2 linked regions of the Macaca mulatta genome follow. The protein of the gene in region 2 interacts with the protein of the main gene of each other region in a pairwise test. Links are inferred from orthologs where the notes say so. Each region holds a gene or a part of one and is shown on either strand. Other genes may lie near its edges. The genes, in order: XRCC4 and APTX.

Region 1 (6,880 bases), on a different chromosome or scaffold from region 2:
GACACTAGGGTAAAACAAGCACAGCTACCAAATGAAAAGAAATTTCATTCCCACGTGCAAACGTATGATTGTGTGTGTATTGTGTAATCCAAATCTGATTAGAATCAGATGATTCAACCAATTTAATCAATGTTAATAAGTTTCTGTGACTGCAATTAGATACTTTCCTGTGTCTTTGTCTATTTATTCTACCTTTTCTCCTGTCATTCAGGGGAGTGACTACGCTCCTGGCTAAACTAATCTACTACTTGTCCCTTGGATCCCATCCACCTATAATTTCAGAGACAGATTTCTAGTAGTTTTTCCTCTGTCTACTGCCTTGATGGTTTTACCTGCTCTCTTTAGTTACTCTCATCAGTATACAAACATTTTCTTTCTTTTATTTAAAAACAACAAACAAAAATACTTTTCTTTATCCTACTTCCCCCTCCAGCTGCTGCCCCATGTCTTTCCCATTTTTTACAGTGAAATTTGTTGAAAGTGTTGCCTGTCTCATCTCCAGTTCTCTCCTCCCATTCCCTTTGAAACTCCTATTCTCTCCTATCTCCTTCCTTCACCAACCAAGTGAATATGTTCTATTAAGATCCTTAATAACATTTGTATTGCTAAATCCATCAATCAGCAGGATACCACATTTATATTTTTGCCTCTTACCTCCTGGATGCTCCCTCTCAGTCTTACTTGCTCAGTCAAAACCCCTTCTTCAGCAAAACCTGCTGCCTCTAAGCATACCTAGAATCTGCTCCTTGCTCATCACCTCTCCATCACTCTGGTCTAAGCCAGTCTCATCTTTCACCCAACTGTTGTACTAGCTTCCCATCTGTTATATCTTCTTCTGCACTTGTCATCCTATAGTCTATTCTTAATACAACACACGGACTAATCCTGTTGAAATTTGAGTCAGATTATGTCACTTGACTGTTTAAAATCCTTCAGTAGTTTCCAAGTTAATTCAAAGTAACAAGAGAAGTTCTAATGGTAGCCTACCTCACCCTACACATGATGAGGTCCTATCATCTCTCTCATCTCATTTCCTAATTCTCCCAGTCTTCATCTTTCTACTTTATCCAGATTACACTCTGTACTATTGCTTAAACGCATCGGGAACTTTGTACTTACTGTTTTTTTGTTTTTGTTTTCTGTTTGGCATGCTCTTCCCCAAGATAGCCAAGTCACTTTCACCTTCTCACTGAGGCCTTTTCTGATAGCCTGGCTAAAATCACAACGCTCATCCTTATTCTCACCCTGACCTTTCTATCGGCCTTCTCTGGTTTATTTTTCTCTTTAGCACTTATCGACCTAACATATTTTACATTTGTTCATCTTATATATTTTCCTGATTACAATTTAAACTCCACAACGGCACAGATTTTTTTGTTTTGTTGTCTAATGCATAGCAAAGTTTCTGGTACATAATAGGACCTCAAAAATATTTTCTAAATAAATAAATCAAACATTTATTTTTATAGTATTGGCTTTAGGTCAAAATTAAGCATAAAATGAGTTCAGAGGCTCCTGTTTCCACTGCCACTAAGAAATCTATAAAATATTTAAAAAAAAAACTCATGGGTTTAAACGCTTGCTGGAAACTTGATCCAAAGGACTAAGTCATAGGTACTTCAAACTAAACTGCCATTTTTCCCCTTCTCTTTTCCTCTACCACATCTCACTTGTTGTAATCCTTTTTTCTGAAGAGTGAAAGAAGGCCTCAGCTTTCGTATAATTTAGAGCATTCTTGATTACTTTGTTCCAGTGGCCTATCGATGGCTTTAGCTAAATAAAATCTCGAATCTTAAAGGCAACCAGCTTTAAGCTGAAGATATTTAGCATAAAGGTGTATCTTCCTCATTGCTTATGCTTTTCCTGGTTATATTTAACCAGGAATAGTATACCTTGGAGTATATGTGTATTAATGCTGGCTCACATTGCTGTGCTAACGAGTTGCTGCATTTTACAAATAATATTAAGTTTTAACATTAAAAATTTGAGTCTTTAAAATAAAAATGCTAAAGAATTTTCATAGAATAAGGTTTTTCACAACATTTTTCCATTATGGTTTCTTGTCATTAGAGTAAGAAGCCCAAGTGAGATATTCAACAAAGGAGATAAATTTATATCTCTCTTACCTGAAGCCGACCCAGAGGGATCAGGTTGGTTTTCATTTTCCTCATCAGTACTCTCATCATAGACTGGATCTCGGTCAGCAGTCATTTCAGAACAGATTGTAGTTTCCCTAGAAACAGAGACAGGTAGAATTATAAATCATTGGCTCACCCCCTGCTAGGCAGCAAATTTACCAGTAAGTAATTATAGAAAATATTTCTGGAAAAAGATTCTAATTAGACAAACATATTGAAAATTTATATGACTTAGATGAAAGCATCTTAAAACCTATATATTAACTCTCTTAAGAACAAGTTTCTCTTTTACCCAATTTTAATCTGAATTTAGTACTCATTATAATTAATATTAAATCAGTTTCTTATCAGGTACTATTCTTCTATCAAAATACTTTTTTCTACCAAATTATCTCTGTGAGTCACAGAGTATTTAACATTTTACTAATCTCAGAGCAGTTCCTTATTTCATTTGATCTCTGCAAAGCCCTAAGATGGGTATCTTTACCTTTATTATGAAAAAAAAGTGATGTGTCCAAAGCTATAAACTAATAGGTATGACTGCAAGACCAGTACCTGAACTAGGACTAGCTGATATCAAATTTTTTTATACTATGTCACTAGTAATTCTGCACTTTTACTAAGATTCAAAGCAATAGACCCTAACGTGTATTTGCTAATGTGTAAAAAAGTTATAATCGTTGAAACCCATATCAGCCATTTGTCACTTACGATTCTTCCATAAAAATCAAGTACATATCTACTCTCAGAGAAAACGTTAAAGAAGAATAAGATTGGTAATCACACTGTAATCAGGTAAAATAAATGCTCCCTGGAATTTAATATTAACAACTTGATTCAAAAGTTAACTATTGCCTAGACATCAAGATTACAAATATGCATCCAACTTTGTAGTTCTGCAGATGAAAGGGTTTTTAAATTAATATTTCTTACTAATGTCTAAGAATTAAATAATACTTTAATAAGCCTCATGTCAATTTTTAAATTTAAGTGTAGGTGAGACAGTTGAGCAGACATGGAGCGAGCATGCTGAGAACTCTCTAGCCCATGGCACCCGTCTAACAGCCTGAGCATCCACATCCAGTCTACCAAATTATCTCATATGACCAAAAAGTTGGCACCTAATGTTCATTAACTTTGGGAAGAAATTCCACTTAAATTTATACATCTGTCATCCAAAAACTAGATAGCCAAAATACCCTTCTTGTTTGATGTTCTTTTCTTGTTCTTGAGCTGTATTTAATAATTTATTATGCAAACTTCTGATTTTTGTTTTCTTCTCATTCAACACCAGAATAAACCGCTTATAAAGATCAGTCTCCAAAGCTTCCTTAGCGTTCACACATTTTTCAAATCTGAAAAAGTAAGTAAACAAATTAGTCATGCAGTTCTGCTTACCATTAACATAATTCAATCTAATAATCAAGAAGATTTCAATAAAATTTTTCAAAGAAAATACAATTAAAGATTATTTTCACATATGCTTTCACTGACTTAAAAGTTTTATAAAGATGGTTAAATACACAATTAGAAATTATTGGTTATTCATGTAATTCATGTACTGAGATAAGGATCAAAATTGAAAATTGATACAAATAAGCCTTTAGAAAATCAAAATGCCTAAAGATAATAATTTATTGACATCTATGGTTTATTTACAAAAGAATGTTTTTATGGGATAAATTTCAAACAAGAGTAAATGTAGCCTGTGTTTCCTCAGTACTATGTTAATATTACTATAAAAGCAACTACAATCTTGTTTTGTGATAAGGCAATACAGCTAATTTGTCTTGACTGCTCTACTAGACAATGAACTGCTCTACAACAAGAACACGACTTATCCAGTTATATTCTTATAAGCGAGCACCACACACACACACACATACAAATACATATAGAAACACAATACACATACAATGAAAGTATTCTACTTGATATATCCAAGGAGAGATTAATAAAACAGCAAATGTAAAACATTACGTATCTTCAAATTTAGATACCTGAGACAAAACATAAAATTCTCTATTGTTTATAATTCGTCCTACACTGCTCAATGAGCTAACAGGGTTTGTATTTATTTTAAGCTCCCAAGAGAGATATAAAGTAAAGAAAGCAAAATAGCTGAGGTTGTATATACTTAAAATGTGCACACGCATACATGATGAATACATTCTTATTTTAGAGATTCAAATACAAATTATTTTATGTATTCTTTTCAATGTCGTTTTATACTGCTTATTTACATTGTTGTTGTTCGATATACAAGTATCCTAGTATTTTTATGCTGTACATAAACACACACACACACATATACCAGTAGTAACATATATGTGTGTACATATACAGACACACACATATATATTTCAGTGAAATTAGAAACACAAATGTCCAAATTAGATACCTTTTATATACACACCCTTAAACTTTCAACAATCTACCTATCTAGAGATGCAAAGAATTCAAACCTCTCATAGGATAAAAAGGAAAATATGGCAATATATTCTCTGGGACCAATTTCAGCAAATTCTTATAGCATAGTCTTTGCCAAGGATGTGAACTCCAGGAAAGCAGAGAGCATGTGTGTTTTACTGGCCATGGTATCCTCAGTGCCCAGCATAGTGTTTAGCATTCTACAGAGGTTTGGTAGGTTCTTATCAGACAAACGAATAAAGTGAGTAAATTAATATGGACATCTTTTTGGTTTATTTGTTTTCCCAGGTTTACTGCTGATTTATTACAAGGCCTCAACAGTGCTTTATTTTTTCTTTTCAACATCCTGTTCTGCAGCTTCCTTGGTCCTTTTTGCCCAGAGGCCAAAGAGCCAGGCATTGATATGGCAGGTTTTTGTTTTGTTTTGTGTTTAGTTTTGAGACAGAGTTTCACTCTCGTTGCCCAGGCTGGAGTGCAGTGGCACGATCTCGGCTCACTGCAACCTCCGCCTTCTGGTTTTAAGCAATTCGCCTGCCTCAGCCTCCTGAGTAGCTGGGATGACAGGCGCCCGCCACCATGCCCGGCAAATTTTTGTATTTTTAGTAGAGACAGGGTTTCACCATGTTGGTCAGACTGGTCTCGAACTCCTGAACTCGTGATCCGCCCACCTCAGCCTCCCAAAGTTCTGGGATTACAGGCATGAGCCACTGCACCCAGTTTGATGTGGCAGTCTTGAAGTTCTCTTCCTCTTGGTGATGACTCTGGCTTTCTCCTTCTTATAGGTATTCCATATGAACATTACTGGTCCTGTCAGTGTGATGGCCAATTTGAGTTCTTCAGTGTAGCCGTCTCCCTTCTTGGAGGCTGAGGTTCCTAGAGAAGGAGGATAAGCTTCCAGCAGTACTCCTAAAGCTGTTATACATTGGCCTGCAAGGACTCAATGGACTTGTTTCACCTTCTTGGATCAATAGAGAAATCAATGGTCCAGGCCATCTTCTTGTGGATGCTGGCCACCCTTAATTCTTCCAAGCTGAAGCCCCTGCCAGCTTGTACTTGGTGTGAAACCTCATGTGGGACATTTTACTAGGGGCCAATGGGTCCAGATACAAGGCACCGGGCAATGCAGTGGGCTTTGACTTCTCTGGTCTCATGTCTGTGGCTCTTCCTTGCAGGCTGGGTGAACCATGTCGCTATGGGCCACTGCCAGTTCTTATAAAAGTGGAGCTTCAGGATTATGCCATTCCTGCTGGGCACCATGTCTGACTATAGCCCTCCAGCAAAGGAGAAGAGCCAAGGAGAATGGCTAATATTGACATCTTATAAGGAAACAGAAAAACAGTGATTCTGAATATTGCATTTTTTTCACTGATTTAATAGCTATTCACCATTGTATAAGTAATATTTTTCATCTTCAGCTTTTTAAAAAACTGCGTCAAATAATATCAATCTAGCAGTATTCCCTTCATTCAGCAAAGTTCTCTGAGACAGAAGTATATGAAAAGATGTTAGAAAAAAATTGAATATTGAAAAGGAGCTAGCAATATTGATAGTTTATTTTAAGCAAAGATATGTCACTACATTTATATTTCAGATTCAGTGTTATGTAAGCATGATATTCTCATCTTCCTATAATATTTTCAAAAAAAAAATAAAAAACTTTAAAACATATATATTACTGAAATACCTGAGTATATAATAACATACTTCAAACATATACAAAGTAAAAACCAACATGTGAAAACATAAACAAATCTATTACAATTTCTTATATTAAATTTTAGGAATGGTAGCCAATTAGTAATTTATCTGGTTTAAGTCCATATTTAATTTCCATATAAGTCACTTCGATAATTCTTTATTGAAAGATTGTGTACGTTATTAACAATTAACAAGCTAATTCCCAAACCTTTATTAAAATTAACATTTGGTGTGACACATTCAAAGTGAAAATAAATATAAAAATGAAATATCATATAATATTCCTAAAGAATATTGTTCATCTTAAGTAACCAGTATCAGAACTATGCTGTCAAAGGAAACATTTCTGTGACAGGGAAACAAAGTAAATAGAATGAATGTTATCATATGAGTTAACCTTGCTTGGTTTCAGCAAAGTTTTAGGATTTTTTTGCAACCAAACTTCTGATGATCAAACTGGACAACACTTCCTAGAAAAGTGGGGGAGTAGGAGCTAACTGGAGAAAAAGTACTTGTGTGAACAGTTGCATGACATGAATTTACTCTTAATTCTTAATTTTTCAAGACTCAGAGAATGCTATCCTTTTATCCATTAATCAGTAACTAAGAGGTAC
Region 2 (6,765 bases):
ATCATTAAAGCTGTGGTCTTTTCATATGGAGGTTGATAGATAATTTTTTTGTCTTGAGCCTTATTTGGTGACTTTCTGTTCATGTAATTCATCATGTGTGAATAAGGTTGTTGAACAAACTGAACACATGGGCTATAACAAGTTATTTTTTATTTTTTATTATTATACTCTTAAGTTCTAGGGTACATGTGCACAACATGCAGGTTTAATACATAGGTATACATGTGCCATGTTGGTTTGCTGCACCCATCAACTCATCATTTACATTAGGTATTTCTCCTAATGCTATCCCTCCCCGAGCCCCCCACCCCACCGACAGGCCCCGGTATGTGATGTTCCCCACCGTGTGTCCAAGTGATCTCATTGTTCAGTTCCCCCATATGAGTGAGAACATGCAGTGTTCTCATGGTTATAGCAAGTAGTTATATAGTACAGATCTTTCCATTACATTTTATTGTTTAAACAAAACAAAATTTGTTTTTCTGTTAGGAATAAGAAAAAAATGGTTTTTATATAGGTTCTTAGGGTACACTTGCAATACACTTACCGGCCACTGCTGCAAAGTCTACGTTTTGTTGTGCTGAATCTGCATTCTATCAGATACCTATGGAAAGACCTCAGTATATGCTTTGCAGTCTGCTTTGCTCCCCTTTTCCAGTTTCCTGTTGCAAATCATTTTGATGTAATACAGAAAACAACATTTGAATATCTACATGAAGAATTGACCTACCAGTATCAGCCCACCTCTACTTTGTCAGTTCATAGTGAAATCTTTTATCATTCCAAAAATAAAGTGCATTTTCTTTTTTCTTTTTTTTTGAGACGGAGTGTAACTTTGTCACCCAGGTTGGAGTGCAGCGGCACGATCTCAGCTCACTGCAACCTCCGCCTCCTAGGTTCAAGTGATTCTCCTGCCTCAGCCTCCTGAGTAGCTGGGATTACAGGTGCCTGCCACCACGCCCAGTTAGTTTTTTGTATTTTTAGTAGTTAGTTTCACCATGTTGGTCAGGCTGGTCTTGAACTCCTGACCACAAGTGATCTACCTGCCTTGGCCTCCCAAAGTGCTGGGATTACAGGCGTGAGCCATCGCATCTGGTCGCATTTTCAAAAGAATGAATTTAAGAATAATAAAATTAAAATAGGCCCACTTTTAAATTGTGGTCCATTTTAAAATTTGTCATTCAAATTTTTTGTTGTTAAAAATATATATATAAATCAGATAATAGCACTCTTTGGCTGAAAATCCTTCAAGAGCTTCCCAGTAGATTCAGAATAGAATGCAAACCCCTTGTTGGCCTTTAAGAGCCTTTATGACCTGGCTTCTGCCTCGTGTCTGCTGCTTGGCTGCAACAATTCAGGCCATACATTTGGGCCATATTACCTTTTTTCTGTTTCTTAGTTGCCCTGAGCTTTTCCTCATCTCAGGGTCCCTGCTCTTGGCCTCCTCACTTTCTGAGACACTCTTCCCACAGACCTTGCTTGCCTGGCTGCTGTCTCAGTTCAAATCACTTCCTGGGAGATGCTTTCCCTGAACACTGTTAACTAAAGAGGCAGCTTCTACTCCCGGGCACTCTATCCCATTTTCCTTATTTTTTCTTGGCAATGTTAATTCTTTAAGTTTTTGTTGTTGTTTGCTTATTATTTGTCTTTCCTCATTAGCATACAATTTCTATAAGGACAGAGGCTTTTCCCATTTTGTTTCTTGCTAAAGTCTCAGTGCCTGTACCTAGTTATTGGCCATAGTACCTACTTATTGAGCGTTGAATATTCTTAAGTAAATGAATGAATCAATTGAATTAAATGGACATACTATCAATTCAATAGTATGAATATTCAAAGAGTATGAATACAATGTACTCATACTCTTTGTCCTTTTGATTAAGCCATAGTTGTTAAAGAGTTTAATGCTCAGTTTTTTTTTCTTTCAACTAGCCATGTACATCTTCATGTGATCAGCCAGGATTTTGATTCTCCTTGCCTTAAAAACAAAAAACATTGGAATTCTTTCAATACAGAATACTTCCTAGAATCACAAGGTAAACAGTGTTGCTTGGTTTTCACATTTGTTTTGTTTTCTGAGCTGTTCTTATATTTAATTTGGTTGTTTCCCTGAATAACAACCTGACCTCAAAGACCTATGTACAACTTTGTGTTCCCTACAAAGCGAGCCATGTGCCGGGCGCGGTGGCTCAAGCCTGTAATCCCAGCACTTTGGGAGGCCGAGACGGGCGGATCACGAGGTCAGGAGATCGAGACCATCCTGGCTAACACGAGACCATCCTGGCTAACACGTCTCTACTAAAAAATACAAAAAACTAGCTGGGCGAGGTGGCGGGCGCCTGTAGTCCCAGCTACTCGGAAGGCTGAGGCAGGAGAATGGCGTAAACCCGGGAGGCGGAGCTTGCAGTGAGCTGAGATCCGGCCACTGCACTCCTACCTGGGCGACAGAGCGAGACTCCGTCTCAAAAAAAAAAAAAAAACAAAAAAAAAACGAGCCCTGTGAAAAGAAACTGGATTATTTGGATTGTAGTATTATTGCCACTTTGCTGTGAGTTGTCTTCTTGGGGGACCTAGAAAGCTATTATGTCAGGGTCAGTGTTTTATTGTGACAACAGGGGACTTAAAGGCTGCCGTGAGGATTAGTGGAGTTCATGGATAAGAAAACTGTGGACAATTCTTTGTCTCTTCTGCCATCAGTTGGGTATGAGCTTCAGGGCTGCCTCCTGTCAGGAGTGGTGAAATAGCAGGGGGAAGGCTGTGTATATGTAGAAGAAAGCATTTCCTGGTGTGTAATGCTTTCTTACACACCAGGATATGCTTTCCTGATGTGTAAGAGCTTAAGCATTGCTGGGGTGTTCACAATGGCAGCTGGCATTTACCAAGGGCCAACTAGAGGTAAAGCACTGTGATGAGCTCTTGACAAAGTAATATGGATTGCCTAGAGTGTGTCCTGAAGGAGTGTATTATTTCAAAGGTCGATTGCTCCTATTTATAATCTGATTAAGCTCATTTTGCCTGAGGGAAGTCTAAACTAAACTCACCGAGCTTTAGAATACCTGGCCTGGCATACTGATTGGAGTCATGTTTTTTATTTTATTTTATTTTTGGTATCTCATATGGGTTTTCCAGAGTAGCTGGGATTTGACTTTTCTTCCTTGCCTGCAGCTGTGATCGAGATGGTACAAGAGGCTGGTAGAGTGACTGTCCGAGATGGGATGCCTGAGCTCTTGAAGCTGCCCCTTCGTTGTCATGAGTGCCAGCAGCTGCTGCCTTCCATTCCTCAGCTGAAAGAACATCTCAGGAAGCACTGGACACAGTGATTCTGCAGGGCCTGAGCTGCTGCTGCGGTGTGGCCCACTGGAGCAAACTGCTGGCATCTATTCTGGGTTGCTTGTGAACTTCTACTCATTTCCTAAATGAAAACATGCAGCTTTTTCACAGAGTTTATTCTGTTATTGAGTGGCCACAATGTAGAGTCGCTCGAAGTAGTTCAGGATTAGGAATTGGGGTTTGTCATAGATATATTCTCTGGTGAGGGTGGCTGGGATATACCTGACTCACCATCTTCAGGACCCATGTCAGGTCTGACCATTGGGAGCAAAGCTATGTTCACACTGACCTAAGGGAGAATATGAAAGCAGTGGGCTGGTTATAAATTTATGTTTCTTAGATTTATCCTCCACCTCTGTAGGCATGGACACCCTTTAATCAGAGCACCTAGAGTGGCCTCTTGTTTATCCTAAAGATACTGATGGGCCTTGTTTTCTGTTAGTCTGTTATGTAATATTATTCTTTTCCCTTCCTTCGTGGGGAGGCTTACTTTGTCCAGTCCTTCCATTCCCTTCTATCTTAGATTACCTAAATGTTCCCTTCTCAGGAATTCTGTCTCATCAGTTCTTCACTGTGAGCAAAGAGGCTAGATGAGGGTGTGGGGGGTTGGAGTTTTCTTCTAATATCAAGGGTTCCTGGCTGTGAGGAAACAGCCACATGTTCGTCATGATTCAGCTGTGAAGTCGTTTTGGACCTGTTGTCTGAAAATAAAGTTAATTTGTTTGAGGCATCTCTCTTAAGTAGGTGGAAACTATTGAAGTTCAGCTGACAATTACAGCATAGGCTCTAATGCATGAAAAGGTGGTTGGTGAATGAAAAAGTTGCACAGAGCCACTACTTTATTTTTCCTTGAGAACAAATTTGGATAAAACAGTTGTATTCAGTTGTTTTTTGGGATAATATTAAACTAAAGGTGAAGGGAAAGCTAAAAAGTTGTTTTTGATCAAATTGTGGATATCTTTGGGGGTGGGACTTTTCACTCAAGTTGTGAGAAAAAAGTAAACACCCTTAACCAAAGCGTCTTCTGGAGAGAAAAAGCCACAGTCCATAGAGACATTTGACCTTTTCGCAAACAAACAAGATGCCACAGTGGTTACTTAGCATGGGTATAGTAAGAATTATATAATTAATGATCATAGCCGCTTACATTTGTCTGACTCCTATGTGTCCTGCATTATGCTAAACACTTTACTCAAATGATGTCATTGAATTCTCTCTGTACATAACTCTATGAGGTTAGGTGCTATTGTTATGCCCCTTTAATGGATGAGAATCTCATATTCTATAATGGGTCCTGGGCACCATCCAAATTTGGTATTGAGTCTGATGCATCAACTCATTATTTTTCCGATCAGTTGAACAGTATAAATGCAAGACTAACAGCAGAAGCCGTAGAACCCAGGGGCCTCGGACCTGTGCTGATCAAAAGCTTTCCGTGGCATTTCATTGATTTCCCTGAGATCAGCCAGTTCCTTTAGCCCTTTTTGTCCATCTCTCACTACCCAATGTCTTTCATCTCTTTTCTCTGCTCCTTCTGCACTCCAGGATTGTAATCCTTAACGTCATTAGTCCATCCATCCACAGTTCTTCTATCTGGCTTGATGCTGGACCTGTGGGCCTGCTCGATTGTCTGTTTCCTCTCCTGAGGTGGTTGTCTACATACACTGTGGCTCCTGGAGGTTCTTCCCCAACCCAGCTGCAGAGGGCATGTGGCCTTTTCTTTGCAGTCATCAGGTAGCAGGCACAGAAACTTTTGAAAATTGGTTGGGCATGGTGGCTCACGCCTGTAATCCCAGCACTTTGGGAGGCCGAGGCGGGCAGATCACAAGGTCAGGAGATCGAGACCATCCCGGCTAACACAGTGAAACCCTGTCTCTACTAAAAAAAAAATTAGCCAGGTGTGGTGGCAGACGCCTGTAGTCCCAGCTACTTGGGAGGCTGAGGCAGGAGAATGGTGTGAACCCAGGAGGCAGAGCTTGCAGTGAGCTGAGATCGCACCACTGCACTCCAACCTGGGCGACTGAGTGAGACCCCATCTCTTTTTTTTTTTTTTTTTTTTTTTTTTGAGACGGAGTCTCACTCTGTCTCCCAGGCTGGAGTGCAGTGGCCGGATCTCAGCTCACTGCAAGCTCCGCCTCCCAGGTTCACGCCATTCTCCTGCCTCAGCCTCCCGAGTAGCTGGGACTACAGGCGCCCACCACCTCGCCCGGCTAGTTTTTTGTATTTTTTAGTAGAGATGGGGTTTCACTGGGTTAGCCAGGATGGTCTCGATCTCCTGACCTCGTGATCCGCCCGTCTCGGCCTCCCAAAGTGCTGGGATTACAGGCTTGAGCCACCGCGCCCAGCCTGAGACCCCATCTCAAAAAAAAAAAAAAAAAAAGTAAAAAGAAAAAATCATACGCGTATTAGTTAAGAACAGGCTCTGGATTCAGACCTGGGTCCCAATCCTAGCTTTGCTACTCAGAGCTGAGGGATCTTAGGTAAGTTACTTATTTTCTCTGAACTTCAGAATTCACATATGTAAATGGACATAACAGAGTTGAGTTATAAGGATTAAATAATCTATGTAAAGGGTTTAGCATAGTATCTGGCACGGAGAAGGACTCCATAAATGTTAACTGGAAGCCTCTGCTTTTATCTCACTGGAGGCTGGGAAGGAGGATTCACCTGATCCATGCCTCTCTGCATCTGAATCCTTACTGCTGCTGGAAACTTTATGAATACGTACTCCATGTACTCCTTAGATCAGAATTACTAGTTTACCTTTTAAAAAATGTAAGCACTTGGGCTTTACCCAAGAATTACTGAATCACAATCCTGAGGGCCTAGGAATCTTCATTTTAAACCATTCAGGGTGAACTTTATTTTATTGAGGTTTCAGAACCACAATATAAATGAACCTTTGGCTTCAAAGCACCTTGCATTTCTGAAGCTTACGGATTTGGCTGTGTCCTGCCAGGACACAAATAACATTTTCTGGTTAGCTGCCTGGGCCTGTCATAGGTCTGCCTTCCCTCTGCTGTTTCAAGGTTATTTCAGAGTCCGGGGAGACCTCCGGCATTAGCTGAAGGGGAGTCCCTCATTACAGGGTTCTTCAGGAGTTTGGCAGAGCTCCTTTGGCCCCAGGCTCTTAGGAGCCAGGTCTGGAGATGACTTCCCCTCAGTGGCTCCCATTCCCTCTTCATGCCCAGAGATCAGTCCAGTGGCTTGATCTGGGACCTGTAATGAACACTGCCAGCCTTAGGCTCAGAGTGTATTTTTCCTTCTCTGGGTCTGTCTGAGATACCCAGGTACAAATGGTCCTTGTAGGGACCAGATCATACTTCAGGTTAAGGATGTCTTCAGATTCAGGGACGTTTTCTAGAGCCTGGCATCTGATAGTCACACAGACTGGACATGGCTGGATATCAGAGATTCAGGACTCATCTGTCATTG

Evidence for each region.
Region 1: the proteins of APTX (region 2) and XRCC4 interact in binary tests that used the Homo sapiens proteins (3 or more experiments, as listed by UniProt). The link is inferred for Macaca mulatta from reciprocal best matches to the Homo sapiens genes APTX and XRCC4.

The regions. Positions count from the first base shown.
Region 1 is NC_133411.1:89,504,147-89,511,026, reverse strand, and holds part of XRCC4 (DNA repair protein XRCC4), read right to left. Parts: intron 3,494-6,880; coding exon 3,338-3,493; intron 2,234-3,337; coding exon 2,127-2,233; intron 1-2,126.
Region 2 is NC_133420.1:66,398,884-66,405,648, forward strand, and holds the end of APTX (aprataxin), read left to right. Parts: intron 1-1,932; coding exon 1,933-2,036; intron 2,037-3,129; coding exon of another isoform or gene 3,130-3,134; exon of another isoform or gene 3,135-3,165; coding exon 3,166-3,320; 3' UTR 3,321-4,173; downstream 4,174-6,765. UniProt on the Homo sapiens protein: DNA-binding protein involved in single-strand DNA break repair, double-strand DNA break repair and base excision repair.